Linked DNA regions of Arabidopsis thaliana. The protein of the gene in region 1 interacts with the protein of each later gene in a biochemical or structural test. Each region holds a gene or a part of one and is shown on either strand. Other genes may lie near its edges.

Evidence for each region. The genes of interacting proteins can lie anywhere in the genome.
Region 2: the proteins of AHP5 (region 1) and HK2 form a complex in vitro, tested with the Arabidopsis thaliana proteins (one study listed by BioGRID).
Region 3: the proteins of AHP5 (region 1) and RR3 form a complex in vitro, tested with the Arabidopsis thaliana proteins (one study listed by BioGRID).

Annotation. Positions count from the first base shown.
Region 1 is NC_003070.9:846,249-850,163, reverse strand, and holds AHP5 (histidine-containing phosphotransfer factor 5), read right to left. Parts: upstream 2,372-3,915; 5' UTR 2,006-2,371; coding exon 1,937-2,005; intron 1,798-1,936; coding exon 1,667-1,797; intron 1,523-1,666; coding exon 1,451-1,522; intron 1,357-1,450; coding exon 1,285-1,356; intron 1,167-1,284; coding exon 1,094-1,166; coding exon of another isoform or gene 1,037-1,093; exon of another isoform or gene 986-1,036; coding exon 929-985; 3' UTR 543-928; downstream 1-542. Other genes in the region: 2A6 (2-oxoglutarate (2OG) and Fe(II)-dependent oxygenase superfamily protein), read left to right, coding at 3,590-3,915. UniProt on the Arabidopsis thaliana protein: Functions as a two-component phosphorelay mediator between cytokinin sensor histidine kinases and response regulators (B-type ARRs). Plays an important role in propagating cytokinin signal transduction through the multistep His-to-Asp phosphorelay.
Region 2 is NC_003076.8:13,910,779-13,918,793, forward strand, and holds HK2 (histidine kinase 2), read right to left. Parts: upstream 6,028-8,015; 5' UTR 5,560-6,027; coding exon 5,290-5,559; intron 5,193-5,289; coding exon 5,019-5,192; intron 4,914-5,018; coding exon 4,434-4,913; intron 4,354-4,433; coding exon 4,078-4,353; intron 3,994-4,077; coding exon 3,824-3,993; intron 3,719-3,823; coding exon 3,506-3,718; intron 3,413-3,505; coding exon 3,226-3,412; intron 3,155-3,225; coding exon 3,103-3,154; intron 3,025-3,102; coding exon 2,795-3,024; intron 2,701-2,794; coding exon 2,602-2,700; intron 2,516-2,601; coding exon 1,875-2,515; intron 1,789-1,874; coding exon 1,300-1,788; intron 1,215-1,299; coding exon 965-1,214; 3' UTR 505-964; downstream 1-504. Other genes in the region: AT5G35740 (Carbohydrate-binding X8 domain superfamily protein), read right to left, coding at 1-168, 248-317. UniProt on the Arabidopsis thaliana protein: Cytokinins (CK) receptor related to bacterial two-component regulators. Functions as a histidine kinase and transmits the stress signal to a downstream MAPK cascade.
Region 3 is NC_003071.7:17,219,959-17,225,407, forward strand, and holds RR3 (response regulator 3), read left to right. Parts: upstream 1-1,881; 5' UTR 1,882-2,321; coding exon 2,322-2,424; intron 2,425-2,533; coding exon 2,534-2,634; intron 2,635-2,736; coding exon 2,737-2,814; intron 2,815-3,047; coding exon 3,048-3,118; intron 3,119-3,253; coding exon 3,254-3,578; 3' UTR 3,579-3,928; intron 3,929-4,020; 3' UTR 4,021-4,922; downstream 4,923-5,449. UniProt on the Arabidopsis thaliana protein: Functions as a response regulator involved in His-to-Asp phosphorelay signal transduction system. Phosphorylation of the Asp residue in the receiver domain activates the ability of the protein to promote the transcription of target genes.

The DNA.
Region 1 (3,915 bases):
TTGACTTTTGAATCGGTTTCATGAAGAACCCTAAAACCAACCATGTTATAAGGATATTACAAAATTATTTTAAAAACATTGGTTGAGAGAAATAAAAATGATGAAGATGGATATGATAAAATGAAGGATAGAGGAGAAAAGCTTTGTTATTATTTGTTACATTACACGCCTCCATGCCTTCAATTTATGTTTCATTAGTCTCTTTCACTTCACATACTCTTCCTTTAAAAAAAAAAAAATGCTCCACCTAGTGATTACCATAGACACATGGCTTCACATTTTTTATTCCACTTATAAACAATCTATTGATAATTCTTCGACATTTTCTTTTTATTTCATTCCTAGTTTGAGGTAATTCGGACATTATATTAAATACATACCTAACAAGACATGCCCAATCCTTTCTCAATCTATTGTCACAATCATGTCTTATAAGCCCTATAACAATAATGTTGATAAAAGAGACCATGGAATACCGTTAACAAAATAAAGAGACCATGGAATCGTGTTATCCATAATTCAAACAAATCATTCTTGATTAATCCACACATAATGAAATCGTCTAAAGTGCTAACTAGTACCCGCATGCTTTACGGCTCAAATCAAAATCATGAATCCAATAGAGTATATCAGATTCAGAATAATGCTGAGAATTCTAAGTCATGATGGTCAGAACAAAGGCTCCAAATGGTGGTTGCATTGTGACAGGAATACATATGGACATGTCTATTTATAGACTAATAATTCAATTTTTACTCTTAGAACTCAATTAAGAGTCTAAACAAGACACGATATCTGGCCAGGGACAGTGTTGCTGAACCTCATTAATCAATATAAAACATAACAACAACAACAAAACTACAGAGGAGTTTCGGTTTCATTTGTGTCATCAGCCTTGAACATTTGCATAATCGAGAAACGCATCGGTCTAATTTATATCCACTTGAGGAATTGTACCTCCAGCTTGGAGGATCTGTTTCTCTAACTGCAACAACATAACATAACAGAAACAGAAGAATGAGAAGTAGCAAAAGGCTCAGTAAAAAGAATACACAAGCAGAACAAGTAGGTTTTCGCAAAGTTTAAAACTCACATTAAAGAGATCCTGAAGTTTAGTCTTTAACATCTTATATTCATAATCCACCTGCTGTAAACACCTTAGACACCTGTGCCAGATATCATTATCACAATTTGTGTGTGAATTAGAAGAATAGCTTCTCATATAATAAAAAAGTTTAGAGATCCAATAACATTTTGCATCAACAAGCTAAAAAATATACTCACCCTTCACGGTTCTGAACATCGCAACATTCCTTGAAAGATATGCACACATTTTTCACCCTCCTTGCACCGACACTGAGTACAAAGCAGAGACTGAGCCATTAAAATCAATGTAGTTTGGTCACTTAAAACTAGAAAAGCAAATTTAGCAGTGTTCACTGTGACAAACCTGGAGCTACTACCCTTGAGTTGATGAACACCTGAATCCACCTGTTTGAAATCCACATTATCTGGCCGCTCCCTAATGTTTATAATAAACTCATAAAATGCTGTCATGAATATATGAAGCTAATTTACACCCTCAAAAATGAATATGAAGGAGGATTAGAGACAAAGTCCCATGTTAGATAAAAAAGAGAAGCCTAAGAGAGTAAGCAAAGCTTACAGGGATATAGACATGGTATTAATAAGCTTGGAACAGTCGTCGAAGAATAGAGAGACAACTTCAGCTACAAAATCAGGGGTTCCTTCATCTTGCAACTTTCTCAACTCTGAGAACTGATTATCCAGAAATCCCTTCAAAACAACAACATATTATATCATCTTTATAAAAAAAATAAAAAAATTCAAATTCACACATAACTGCACCTTAAGCTTATCTAAGCCCAAAAGTGAGAATCCAGCCAAAGTAAGAAAAGTTTGGTTAGGAACGAACCTGTTGATAAAGAGAAACGATGTAGTCTTGAAATTGTCTCTGCAACTGAGCAACGACGATGGTGTTCATAGCTAAAGTTTACCAAGAACCAGACTTGTAAACAAAGATGGTAAGAGCTTCTCAAACATACATATACCAAAAACAAACAACGGATACGGTGAACTGTATTTCGACGGTTCCGAGATCGATCTAATCGGAGGTTTTTGGCTTAATTTAAAACAGATCCAACAACAACTAGGCGAAAAGACCAAAGAACAAACTTCCAACTTAACTAAGAGATTCCAAATTCAAAATCGGAGCGACACAGAGAGAGATGATGATGAATCTGATCGGAGCGTCGAAAGTTATAATTTATTCCACGTTCCGTTGACTGATTTTGACTTAAATATCAAATGGAGGGTTATTTTTGTAAATGACTATATTGTAGGAATTAATCAAGTACGTAAATAATATTTTAGTTTGTGGGGTGCAAATCTGATTTTATAGATAGGGAAGTTGCTAGCATGCGTTCTCCACAAACGAGATATCTTTTTTTTTTTTTTTTAAAAAAAAAGGTCCAGTCCCAATTGGGCTTAGGCCCGGAATTACAATCGTCCACAGTTACAAAACAGGAAAAATCCGGTCACCGGAAAAAGAGAACCAGAGGTGGATTTGGGCAGTGGAACGGAGGCAGCAAATAGATCTATTAGTACCGTCGTATACAAGGCCCACTACTTTGCAACACAACCACCGGAACGAGATCATTGGCCGAAGTATACGAGTCCTGCCGCAAATCTCTTACCAATGAGCTGGCCGGACCTGCAACAAACCTAACGGAAAAAACCCAGTTTCCGACACTCCGCCACCCAATTTGGTCGAGTCCCCAACCTCGCAAAACGACCACGCATTTCCAAGCCTCTGACCTCCAAAACCTTAGATCTGAAAATTTTCCAAAAGCAAAGCAACCTTCAATCCGGATTGATGGAGACAAAAAACGGAGGCTAAAGAAGGGTGATGGCTCAGACAACCCTTCAGCAACCGGAACCCGCAACAGCCATCTCAGATCCAGTTTGTTAACCATCAAACACGCACTGAAAACCCACCAATCCACAGCGTCTTCCGCCACAGCTACAGCGTCTAACCAAGTGGTTGAACCAAGAAAGACTTCACCGATCTCCACCGACGTCCATAACCAGGAAGAAACGGAAGAGAAGCCTCTCATCCACCGAGAAAGGGCCACCGCTGCCACGCTTACCGGAAAAACCACACCACTCCAATGCCGGAGAAGATAGCTTGCCTTACTCCTGCTTTGTCTTGCAAATTCATAACCTAAGATGAAGAACAGAGGCAGAAAAAACTAGATCTGTAAAAACTGGAAAAAACTTCAAAGAGAGAGAAAATGAACAGTAGCGGAACGATTGTCCAAAGTCCTCCAAACGAGATATCTTTAAATGTTGTTTTGCTAATTAGTGGCGTTTCGAGAGCTAGGCGAGCAACAATGGCGATGAGATTTAATATGGTAAGTGTGTAGTTAATTAACAAAAGTTCAAACCGGATGCTATTCTTACTTGTAAAGACAAACGACCAATTAAGAATCCAAATTTTAATATAGGAATTGAAATAAACTAATGGACCTTGTTTTTGGCGATTCATTTCTTTATTTGTTATCTTAATATGGGTCACGATTCCTTTTGTTATTTAATTGTATTAAGATGTGCATTAAGATGTGGAATAATAGCACTTATGCAAATCTGTGCATTGCAAAAAAAAGAAAGAAGAAGCAAGATGGAGTCAAGTGATCGTTCAAGTCAAGCAAAAGCTTTCGACGAGACAAAAACCGGCGTGAAAGGGCTTGTGGCTTCGGGAATCAAAGAGATTCCAGCCATGTTCCATACACCTCCGGATACTCTAACAAGCCTGAAACAAACAGCACCACCTTCGCAGCAGCTGACGATCCCCACGGTGGATCTGAAAGGAGGAAGCATGGATTTGATATCGCG
Region 2 (8,015 bases), on another chromosome or scaffold:
CAAAGGAGGCATGATCTCTGATTGTGTTAGGCAAGAAGCAAGGCTGGTTTTCCTGCTGCATTTTGCTGCAGTCTGCTCCACCTTTTCCGCAAGCCCAGTCTAAGGCTGCTTGCAACTCATCGTCTGGCGTTTGTTCATCCGCTATGCACCATTGTTCCGACTCTGCCTCTGCTTAAACATACACTCACATACATCTGCATAAGGCCAAAAAAGGGACATAGTATGAACATTGCAGTGGTGTTTTTACCTGAACGTCGAGGAAGAGTCATTGCTATGATAAGCAAAGGAAGAAGTATCCTTATCAAGAAAGTTGACATGTTTCTAGAGAAGGCAATGAGTGGTGCAGAGAGATCCAGATCTGATCTATCTAGTTAGGAAGTTTGGGAGCTAAGGAAATGAGTGCAACTTGATACCCTTTATACTAGTTAGAAAGAATCATTAGTCCAAAAGTTCAAGATCTATGACTAGGGAATCTTGGTTTGCTTCAGATGCAATCATGTGCCAGATCTGCATTGGTTTTGACTTTTGAGGAAGATTTTGTTCTGCTTCTGGAAGCTTTTCAGAACACACTGTCATTTATACGCTTCCTATCATGTAATCAAGAGCCATTACTATTACTACACAATATACAAGCTGTTTCATAGTTAAGAGGACAGAGTTTGGGTTTATATATATATAAAATGAATATAATGGAGCTATACCCTAGGAATCTACTATACACACAGGCAGAGATCAATGAAGACAAAGTGTCTATACAAAGAGAAAGATCGGTTTTCGCAGTTTTTCTCACTCAACCAGACGAGGTCTTAAGCTGAAAGAGACCTGTGAAGAAAAATTGACAATGAACTGGTTCTTGCCTTGATCTCAAGTTGAATTGCAGGTCATGGATGTTCAAGATATACTACCCGATGTCAAAAAGCTCTCGGGTTGATATATAATCCTACAAGGGAAATGGCTTTTTCTTTTAACAAGGTTCAAAGAATCTTGCTACCGCTGTGTAGAGCACTTCCTCTTCAAACGGTTTTGATACATAACCATCCATTCCACATTTCATGCATTCTTCATGAGTAGCCTGAATAACATCTGCTGTCATTGCTAATATCGGGACGTGCCAACTACTAAATTTACAGAACATTTCAGCTGAAACTTCTCCAGAAGCTATTTTCTTATTGATTTCCCTCTCCAGCTCACGGACTCTCCTTGTCGCTTCAAATCTGCGCAAAAAATTATAAAGTTACCAAGGACGACATCCAAGAAATGAACAAGCTGAAGAGATAAGATTGAAAAATAGTTATCTACCCATCCATTTCAGGCATCTGGAGATCCATGAAGCAAGCATCGAAGTTATGAGGCGGCTTAAGCATTGCCAATGCAGCTTTGCCACTCTCAACGCATGTAACAATAGCTCCATATTTCTTAAGTGCACCTTCTGCAACTCGTCTGTTCACAAGATTATCATCCACAACCAGAATCTGTTTTTCTCTTAGCAAGTGTCCAAGATTTCTTCGCTGTCTGTTCGGTTGCCTCTTCTTGCCATTGACAAGGGTTTCTTGCAAGCAACATATTAAGACACTCATCCGAAGAGGCTTTATCACCACCTCATCGATGAGACCAGTAGACTTCATCTCACTGCGCTCAGTAAGAGTTGCAGAAGTTGCCAAAAGAAAAATCTTTGGGACTCTTGTAAAGGTTACTTTGCTTCGGGTAAACAACTCGTCAAGTACTGAAAATTCTTCCTTGTTCCAGGCGTCTTTGTCTATTAGAATCATAGCCAAATTTTCTAATTTGCTGCAAAGATTCCAGAACAATAAAACGCTTTTAGTGAACTCACTATAATCTCTAAAGACAGACAGACACTAATGTACGTAAAGTACCTGATACAACAAGTGCATGCCATTCTCAGACTTGAAACAATGTCTGCAGATATTCCCAGTCTCCGAAGTTCGTACCTGGTGACCTCTGCTCTAATGTTTCTGTTATCAATAACTAATGCTCTCAATCCTGTAAACTCCTGAATAGCTAGATCGAATCGTTCCAGCTTAGTAATCGACGTATTTGTTTCTGCTTTCCCGAAAACTCCAGTAAATGAAAAAGTACTGCCTATCCCGGGCTCACTCACAAACCCCATCTCTCCTTGCATGAGTTCAACCAAACGTTTGCTTATACTCAAACCTATGCCAGTTCCACCATAAGTCCGCGATGTGGAACTGTCGGCTTGCATAAAAGGTGTGAAGATTCGGCCTTGTGCATCCACAGGTATGCCAACTCCAGTGTCCTCCACTGTAACTAGCAATTTGATTTGATCAGAATTCTGACTCTCAGTACTGTAACATGTCTTGAAATTCTTCCAGCTTCCCCATGCATTTACCGCAGGAAACCCGCTAACTGTCTCACCGGACTCGCTGCATCCTAAAGCTAGTCGCTGTTTTAGCACTGCGTCTTCAATAGTAAGAGGCTCCTTTACCTCATCTGCAAGGTGCACTGAGATAAATATGTGTCCCCTTTCCTGTGTGAACTGTTATTAAGTAAATAACAAATGAGTACTGTAATAGTAGAGATTCGTGAAGCCTGTTGTTCTGTAAGAAGTAAGGAGTAAATTACTTTGATTGAGTTTCCAACCAGGTTTGTAATGATCTGCCGGAACCGACTCGGATCACCGACTACAACATCAGGAACTTGACTAGAAACATAAACGGCCAACTGTAACAAGAAGTCAACATTTCATTACATATGGAATTTGTTTGCCATATGAAAACATTAAGAAAGTAGAAGGTCATGCAGTTTATAATTATACCTCAATTCCTTTTTCATTTGCCTTGCCAGAGAGGAGAGATGAAACATTATCAAGAATAAAACGCATATCAAAAGGCACATTTTCAAGCTCGAGCCTTCCGGATTCAATCTTTGCCTGATCAAGAACCTCATTTATTAGTGATGTAAGATCCTTCCCACTGCCATGAGCAGTTTGCGCATAGTCCATCTGCTTCGCATCAAGATCGGTGTCCATCAGCATTTTCAGCATTCCTGTAACAAAATGCTTAAACGTTTCAGCTGATTTTAAGAGAACATGCAATATTGACCAAGGATAAGTAGAAAAAGTACCTAAAACTCCATTCATCGGAGTCCGTATCTCATGAGAAACAGTTGCTAGGAACTGCAAAATAAGAAGCATTTCAGTGAAAAAACAAGTAAAGCTTTTGAGACTATATGATTCACAAAGATCACCTGTGACTTTGCAATGTCAGCGGCCTCAGCACGAGCTTTGAGTTCCCTCATCTTCTGACAATCCTCTTCAACTGTCGCAATTCGGTTGATGGCTTCATATAAAATATAACCAACAAGAAAAGTAATAACCAGAACTAAGATCGACGGTGTTATCGCTGTCCAGGGAATGGGAAGTTTATGCTTAAACCTGTAAATGAAAAATGCCACTTTCATACTTCAGAAAACAGAGAAGTGAAACATATCTTATAAAAATGTACCATAACAGTTAGAGCTAACTAACCTGCAATGCATCTCATGGTTCCTTGATGGATCACCAAAATCAAGGCTACTTATATGCTGCTCACTTATATCCCCAATTTCTGAGCCATACATTTTTATTAGACCTGAAGTGTTAGTTGTGTCGTAAACATCCACAGCAATTGTCTGTTTGCTGGCAAGTTGGTGAAGAAGTTTCTCCACCAGCGATGGCATATCATATGATGCACCAAGGTACCTGTTTTTAAGTGTATCTTATTAATATTTTCTGGTCCAGAGATCATTCTTTGTTACATAGGTTCAATTTCTTCAGTCCTAGAATCATTTTAAGTAGAAGTAGTACCCAATAGTTGCTTCAACACGCTGTTCTTCTGTAGCATCAGGCGGTAGGCTCGTGTCATAGACAGCAAAGGTCAACACAACACCAAGATGATTTGACTTAAGAAGCTTAAATGGAGATGTTAACACTCCTTTTCCTGATGCCCTTGCCCGTAAGATGTTTTCACGGTCTTCCTGCAAAATAGTTAGACTTTTGAATTCTCTTTTAAGGACATTGGTTTGGCAAAATAGTTCAAGAAACTTTTAGACGTTACTGACTTCTCCAGACATCATGTCGACCGATACAATATGGGAAACAGTTTCTTGAGCAAATATAACTGGCGCGTATTCGTCTTGAATCGGTGCGGGATCAAAGTTTTCAGGAACACAATCTTGTACAACTGTCTGGTCCTCAGTTTCCATTTTCTTTATTGCCCATCCATGCTCCTTTTCAAATTTCTCTCTTTCTGAGTGTGGGACTTTCAAAGCATACGCTACACCACTAGTAAGTGGCCTCTCAAAGTTTGTTCTCTCAGTATATTCTTCAAATGTTCTCTGTAAATGTAACAGAAGTTGATGATTTAAACATAAACTTGAGACACAAAATGTATTTAGCAGTAAGAAAAAAACATCACCTGATCAATGGCAGATGGGATTTTACCATGATGAAATGTAGATACAAGAATAGACAAGGCATGAACATGGTTCAAGCTAACATTGAACTGATCTTGTAAAACACGTGCTCGTTCGTCACACATGTTTGCCAAAGTCTCCCTCCTTTTCATTATGATCTCCTCATTAGTGTCCCAAAACCACCAAACAGAGAAGGAAACTCCTCCTAAAATACCAAGGAGAAGGATATTCTTCCTCCATCTTCCAGCCCCTCTAGAAGAAGTCTGAGCACGTTGTTGCTGCTTCTTTGGAGCTAAAGCCTCTTGCAGATGTACTTTCTCTTTCCTCTCACCTCGTGCTTTAGAATGAGATACATAAATCTTATGGCACACTAACACACCAAGGATTAGACACCACCATGCATTTCTTAAATACGATGACAAACCCTGCTCCAGCCCTTCTTCATGGTTTTCTTCCTCAAGGTTTTCAGGTTGCTGTAAAATCTACTCATAACCAAACACATTCACAATAAACTTTTGTGAGAACTAGCTAAACACCAAATCTTAAAGCATTTCCTTCACATGTTGTCGAATCGAATATTATCTTACCGGTTCAAGATTACCACACATACAAGATGTTGATGAGATAGAATGTCCTAAGCCAAGATTCCAGGGAAGCCCTCTAGTCTCTTGTTTATCAGAACGCACACTCAGGGAACATGTAATACCATAGTTTGTCCACATTCCAGGGCTTGATTCCTTATGACATTCAAAGGATGTTACCTACAACAAATACAGAGAAACTGTTACACTTTAAGGCAAATCTGGTGCGTATTCAAAAGCTCAATTTCAACAAATACAAGTCAATTCATGCAATTACCTGATCTGAATCAGAGAACAAAGAGACCAAATCATGAATCTCACTTCTTGTGACATTTTGATGTCTATACAACACTTTCTCTTCTCCATTACAAGAATCTGTCTCCTCCTTCTGACTTCTACCTAACCGTAAGAACATAACCAAAACAATTACCAAAGAGCCACACAAAATCAGGAAGAAGAGAGGCTTCTTTAGCCATTTCTTGTCACTGCTCGACGACTTCTTAGCTTTCTTTGAAGTAAGATTCAAGAGCTCACAAGTTATAGACATTTCGACTCCTAATCTCAGATTCAGCTGAAGAAATTCAGATCTCTTCAAACCCAAAACTAAAACTCTATCAACAACAATCTCATAGTTGAGTTCTTGAAACCATCCACAAGAAGAACAAGAAGCTGTGACATAGTCCCAAACGCAAAGCTTTTTTCTTTTTTCTTACTTAAGACGCAAGAGGACAAGATGAACCAAACCCAGTGGTTGTTGCAATGGGAGAAAGAAGACATTGTTGAGAGTAAAGAAACGGAAAAGAGAAAAAGGACAAAGCTTTATCTTCTTTCATGGTTTCAGGGTAAAGAAAAATGACAAAGCTTTCTCTGTTTTAGATGTTTGTGAGCTTAAACAAAAGAAACCCAGCTGGTGTCTCTCATTACCCAACTGGACTCAATGATCAGAGTTTGGATAAAAGAAGCATTTGTTAGAGAAATTATGAGCTAAAGAAAAAGAATGTCACTTCTCTCTTCTTTTACTCTACTTTTGATTATTATTATTGTTTTTGTCTTTTGGTGAATAAACATTTTTAAAAACTGAGGTTTTTGGGTCCATGATTATCTCATCATCTAGGTGGGGAAGGTATTATAACATTTTTAGTTAAATTAGAAAAAGTGATTGGCTAATGAAAATATAAATAAACTCAACTATACCAAGAATCAATACATGCTTCTCCTAAAACCTACTCATTGTTATTTGTTTTTTGTTTGGTCTTTTTGGTGTTTTTAAATTGCTTCATTAGCATAGTTTAACATCTACTCTTAAGTCTTATCTTATCTTGTATAAAATATAACGATGAGTGGGTTTTACGAGAAGTGGGTATTGATTTGATTCTATATGTACATCTTATTTCTTTTTATCAGTTTATGTATCTTTGTCTCCCAGTTACATTTATGATTCTGATTATTTTTATGTAAGAAGTTCTGTTTAAAATTGTATTTGACTTTGAAAATATATTAGGACTAGATCATAACCCGTGCTGTATAGCACGGGCATTAATATTTTGTATAAATTACATTGTATACTTTGTTATGTTTGTTATGTTTATCAAAATTATTTGTTATATTTGTCAAAATTTAGTAAAATATATTCAAATATAATTAAATTTATTAAAACTTAATAAATTTAAAAGTTTTTTTTGTTTAGAGACGCACTATCTACATACAAAATACTCGTTTCTATTTTTTTGAGTATTTTTAGGGCCTGAAACTTTTTATCCAAACTGACCCAAACCCAACTGGACCCGACCCGAACCGAATATTTAGAATTATTCTATTAGGTAGTAAATCATATACCCATTAATCCCAAACCCGAACGGGTTCTACCCGAACTCGAATGGGTTACTCATATGCCCAGCCCTATTCTCTGATTTAATTATCTAAAAAATCCCAATAAAACATATGTTTTGTTGAATACCTTTTATTCAAAAAAATTTACATCCTCTTCTGCCAAAATCATTTCATAAGACATCCCAAAACCCTTGGAATAATGATTCTATGAATGAAGAATCCTAATTTGAATATACCAAGAGGTTTTGAAAGGTTTTAAGTTTTTGATAGGTGTGTATGTGAGAAGGTACATCCATCGTGATGGTAATCTGCTTATTTATAATTTTAACTTGCATTATACAGCAGGTAGGCTTATATTTTAGTTAAACTAAAAACTTTTATTGTAAAGTTGATTACAAATATATGATATTATTTTATTTGATTTTAAATGTATAGTAAACTGCTAGTTGTATATGTTTTGTTGATATTATTTATATTGTTTAATGTTTAAAATTATATACTTGTATTTTGATTGTTAATTTTAGAGTTTCACCTGTACTATACCATCTTGTATTAATATTGATTTAAACCCGTCAATTCTAGGATTTTCCAACTTGTATTAAAAATTGAATCACATCATACACATTAAAAAATCTAATATGTTATTAATTATTTTAGTATATAAAATTATAAATTTTAAAATAATATGTATGAAATTGAATATAAATATTCAAATTATAACACAGTACTCAGTAAAATTTTTTTTTAAATCTACTTTTGACCCGTTATAGTATTTTTTCATGTATTGAACAGTTTATATTTGTTTTTTTTAAATTTAAATTGTGGCATATGCGAAAAAAACTCTAATTATTTTTTTATAACGATGATATTATTTTTTTGCAAAAATAAAATCATATAAAGATGAGAGGTGAACTATAATAATTAATAAAAAATTAATATGATAATTTAGATATCAAATCTAATTTGTTGATTTTAATTGGTTACTTTTTTGGAAATTAATAATGTATTTCGTTTTTGAGTTAAATTTAATTAATTAAATTGACTTTTTAATTTTTAAAGAAATGAATTAATTTACTCTTTAAAATTTTATTTCTAATGGCATACATATGTAATTACTTACAAAAAATAAGGTTATATTTAAAATGTACTTCCCAAATAATATAGTAGGATAGA
Region 3 (5,449 bases), on another chromosome or scaffold:
GAGCTCTACGATTGCTGGACTCAATTCTTTTTTCCGATAGTTTTTCAGTATGGTGGTACATATATGTTTTGGTGGTACACTAGCTAGTTTTGTACACATAATTTTGTGGCGGTAAAAAGGTGAAACGTGCAATATTAGTTTAAGAAATTGAGATTACTAGGATCCTTGTATCATAGCCAATGGTATGTCAACAAACAAAAATAAAAGCCATAGTCTTATACAATGGCGGATCCAGGAAATAATTTTATATGGAGCACAATTATAAAAAATCAATAAAAAGACATAGCAAGGCTTGAACTTGGGTTAATGTGGGGCACCATTAAGTAAAATACCACTACACTACATACATTTTTAATTACATAATGCAAACTTATATAAGATTTATATAATTGAGTATCGGGCACATGCCCCACCCAAGACCAACGTGTGTCCGCCCCTGGTCTTATACATTGTCATATTGCTGCGGATAACAAATAAAACAACAAAAATTGACTGTATAGAAAGAAAAAGAAAAGAGATAGGAAATGTGGAAAGTGAGAGAGCAATATGGAACCCACTAGACCCATAAGAGAGTATTGGTTATTGGACGGACTTTTCATGTGTCTACCATACTTTGGATACGTGTCGTCCATATAAAGATGATGATTGATGATGATAGTGGTGATGATGGGCATGACCATGGGAGGCAAATCTTTGGCAGAGAATCAAGTGAACATTGCCATGTCTTTGCCACTACCACACTACCTAACTATTTAGTAAATTTTCTTATTCTTTTGCCAACGAATCTGATCGCCAAGTATAATACGATGAGCGCAAAACACTATTTCACATTTAGGTTACATTTTTTTTATTTAATACTGTTCGTAGATGTAAAAGCATTTAAAAATAGTATCTATAATACTTAGAATATAAAACATCATTTATACTATATATTTTATATTGTGGATTTTTAACAAATCCCATTAACAAGAGATACTTGTAGCATGGGAACTTACAACTAAATTACCGTTATACTACTATTTTCCTCTCTAAATAATACATTCATCTCTTCTTATTTATCTCCAACCACTAAAAACTTTGACTGGTCATATAATTTTTATGTTACCAATCATCATAATTAAGATTTACCAATTTAACTTCACAAAAAAAAAGATTTATCAATCTAATTTACTGATTGAGTATTACACCAGAGACCAACCACATTTGTACTAAAAGTGAGAAAAAGAAAACATAAAAATTATATCCAATAAGTAAATGATACGCAGCAAAACACGTCACATCGACTCGCATATGAATACACAAACCCCACAACATAAACTGCTAAATAGAAATAGGGACGATGTTGTGGTCCGACGAAAATCTTTTCCACTAGTCACTCTTTCAATCAGGACCATTACAAATTATTTCGAATGTTTGTGCAGAGTATAAATAAAAACAAATTGAATATTGTAAATACATCAACGATCCACCGTAAAAACATTCAAAATTCTATTCCTTTTTTTTTTTTTTGGGATTTAAACCACTCTTAACATTCAAAATTATAAGCAAATTCTTAATTAGGTTCAACGATTATTTGATCGGTGACATCCCAGCAGCTCAATAAACATATATTAAAATCGAAAATAAAAAATACTGTCATCACAAAAACTCGTTATTATTTAATCTCTTTTAAAACATCTTGTTTTCGAACATCTTGCTAACTAATGTATAAGTTTTTTTGTTTTTTTAAACGTTAAACTACAATTCTTTTTGACAATGAACGGTTTTTTCTATATATATATATTTTCAAATGGCTGTTAAAACCCACCAATAGCAATGCATGTGGTTGTGGTAGTATACACATTATTAAATCCCTCATCCTCTTATCTTAAAAAAAAAAAAAGTCTTTGGTGGGCTAAACAAATCCTTTAAAATCTTCATATAGATTTCTTTCCATTATTTATTTTATCCATTATCAAAGTCTTTTTTTTTTTTAAATTTCTTTCTCTCGTTGTCTCCTTGGAAATTACTTTCATCATTTAAAAAACTTGCTTACTCCGTAAACCAAAGCTAGATCCAATTAGTCTTATTTCCTTTTTATTCGTCTCTCTCTCACTATCCGAGATTTGGGTTGAAAAATACAAACCCCCTTTTATTTCTCCTCTTCTCTCCTACAAGCTCATTCAGAACTCTCAACATTTCCGGTAGAGAAAAAAAAACCGTTTTTTTTTTAATCTCTTTCTAAAGAAGGATATCAAAACAAAACACAAAGTTGAAAACTTTGCATCTGGGTTTGTCTATTTTAGATTCAGATCTTAGTTTTTTTCGATTGAATATCTACAATGGTAATGGAAACAGAGTCAAAGTTCCATGTTTTAGCTGTTGATGATAGTCTTTTTGATCGGAAAATGATTGAGAGATTGCTTCAAAAGTCTTCATGTCAAGGTAGATTCGAAAAAGCCATAATCTTTAAGCTATATGTATTGGAGAAAGAGAAGGAAGATATACTGAAAAAAAGGTTTCTTTATTTGGTTCTTGTTCTTATGTTTTGCAGTAACTACAGTTGATTCAGGCTCTAAAGCTCTGGAATTTCTGGGTTTAAGAGTAGATGACAACGACCCAAATGCACTCTCTACATCGCCACAAATTCATCAGGTTCAGTTTTTGATCTTTTACATGATTCAAAGTTGGTTACTTTCGAAATTTGCAATGAATGGTTATATTGAGATTTGTTTGTAATTTGTGGCTTTTGAGCAGGAAGTTGAAATAAATCTAATAATTACAGATTACTGTATGCCTGGCATGACTGGTTATGATTTGCTCAAGAAAGTTAAGGTATTTCTTCTCAATTTGGTTACTGTCTTTTCCATCTCTGGCTAAATTCGTTTCCAGAAAAAGAAATAAAGTTTTTTACTTTAGTTTTCTTTTCCAAATGAGAATGTCAATGGAGAAATTGAAAATCTCATTTTGGAATATTTTCCCACTCAAAAACTTTCCTTTATGCCATTGTTTGATAAAAAAGAACAATTGATTTGCTTCTGAGTAATCTACATGATTGTTGTGTATAGGAATCAGCGGCGTTTAGAAGTATACCTGTAGTTATAATGTCATCTGAGAACGTTCCTGCAAGAATCTCCAGGTAAGAGCTCTGTTTCTTTAAAGTTAATTTGAGTATTATTGATTTGAGAATTGGCAAGTGGATACTATTATTCGATTCTTTGGTTTGAATAAGTCTTTGAACTATCTACAAAATTGTGGTGGTTTCTTCCAACAGATGTTTGGAAGAAGGAGCTGAAGAGTTTTTCTTGAAACCAGTGAAGTTAGCTGATCTTACCAAGTTGAAACCTCATATGATGAAAACGAAGTTGAAGAAAGAAAGTGAGAAACCAGTTGCCATAGAAGAGATTGTGGTGTCTAAACCGGAGATAGAAGAAGAAGAAGAAGAGTCATCAGTGATTGAAATCTTGCCTCTCCACCAAGAAATTGAATCCGAACAACTTGAACCAATGTTGAGTAGTAATAAGAGAAAAGCAATGGAAGAAGTGGTTTCTACTGATCGATCACGTCCTAAATACAATGATATCACAACCTCGGTCTGAAGGAGGACTAACGCAACCCGAGAAGCCACTACAAGACCTATATGGAGAATGCCAACAGAATCTCTCAGTAGAAGATCTGCTAACTCTTGCATCTGAAGCAAACAACAACGGACTGCAAGGAGGACTAACGCAACCCGAGAAGCCACTACAAGACCTATATGGAGAATGCCAACAGAATCTCTCAGTAGAAGATCTGCTAACTCTTGAATATGAAGCAAACAACAACGGACTGCTAGGAGTAATACCGCAGCAACATCGTTATCATCAGGAAAAAGAGACAATGCAGACACAAGGAGATCCACTAAATCGAATACCTATTCAATCAGAAGCTTCAAACCATTCAGATAGTGGTAAGTAGCAACACTAGAAATGTGGTTTCATACTATAGCTTTTGTCATCTCTTATCTTACTTGTTTCTTGGTTGTTCTCTCTTTTCACTCAGGTGATAGCACACTAACAATGGCTCAAAACCAGGATGGTCTCGGACACAGTAGTTGTTTTATTCTCTGTCAATTTACTTCTCTCCCCTAGATTAGCTTTCTTCGTTTTTTTCTTTTATTTTTCATGCTGTTAAACCCACAAGATTTTTGGGAAGTTTCTTGCTACTAGCTTAAGAATCCAAAACTATTGCAAAGATTGAAGCTTTCGAGAATTAGTAATGAATCTTATCAAAACTAACAGCTACATTTACTAGCTTAAGAACCATTAAACGAATTGTAAAATTCTCTCATCTTGTGGGTGTAACAGCATCAAAGATCTAAATCCAATCTTATCAAAAATTGGAAGTGGTCGAAAGTTTTGGCCTTTTGATACGAACAAGCTTCAAAGATATAATTCCTGAGATTGAAGATGAAATTTTTATGATTTGTTCCCTTTGGAAACGAAAACTGTATTAAGAGAGCTATTTGTCCCACATCGGAAAAACAAAACGTTTTGTTGTTGTATATAATAGGGAAGGTAGCGAGTATTGTACGTCGAACTCAGTAACGCGGGCTTGTGATCCAAGTGGAGACAATAAGGGGATGGGACGTTGGGTCGATCTCATTGGGCCGGGTTCGGGTTGGGCTATATTCTGGCCCGCCCATTCCAAGTTGGGAGTTGAGGCATGGGCTTCGAGCGAAGGCTCGGGTCTCATGTCTTCTAGAGTGGGGGAGACCGCGTGAGGCTGGTTTCACAGAGCAGCGTCCACCTCCCGCTCTTGACGGTGGAAGGATTACGGGCCATTGCCTTCCGAGCCCACTATGACCCAATAAGCCGCTCCGATTGGACCATCACTTTTTTATTTTCTCTTTCTTATTTTTTTGTGTACTCTCTCGTTTTTTTCAGTATTTCAAAACTGGACAATAATATTAACGTTTAACTATAAAGAAAGCAAAATCATTAGCCCTAATTTTGATTAGAGATAACATTCCAAGAACTATCTAAAAAGAAAAAAAAATGTGACAAAAGGAAGCTTCTGTGATGTTTGTTGCATCAAATTATTTTACATAATTATTTATTTCCAATCACATGAGTAATATTCATTATGCCTCCTTTTTATGCAATATTTCTGTTGTTTTGTGAAGTACTATCAACTAACGATAGGAAAAATACAAAAGTTTAATTATAAATATGAAAGGAAACAAAATATGTCCAATTATAAGGGAATAATTATTAGTTCGTTGGGGAAATGTCAGCTAGCTCGTAAATGACATTTATTTTGGTATTTAAAAACAAAATAAACACACTATCAAAATTTGCATAACATATAGTACCAAGTAATCAACCACTGGGTCGGGTTGATAAAGTTTGGGTTGCGATCTTCTCTTTTTATTGGTCGAACAGTGACGTGTCCCCTAACGCTGTCCTAACTGGCCAGAAAGAGACACGGC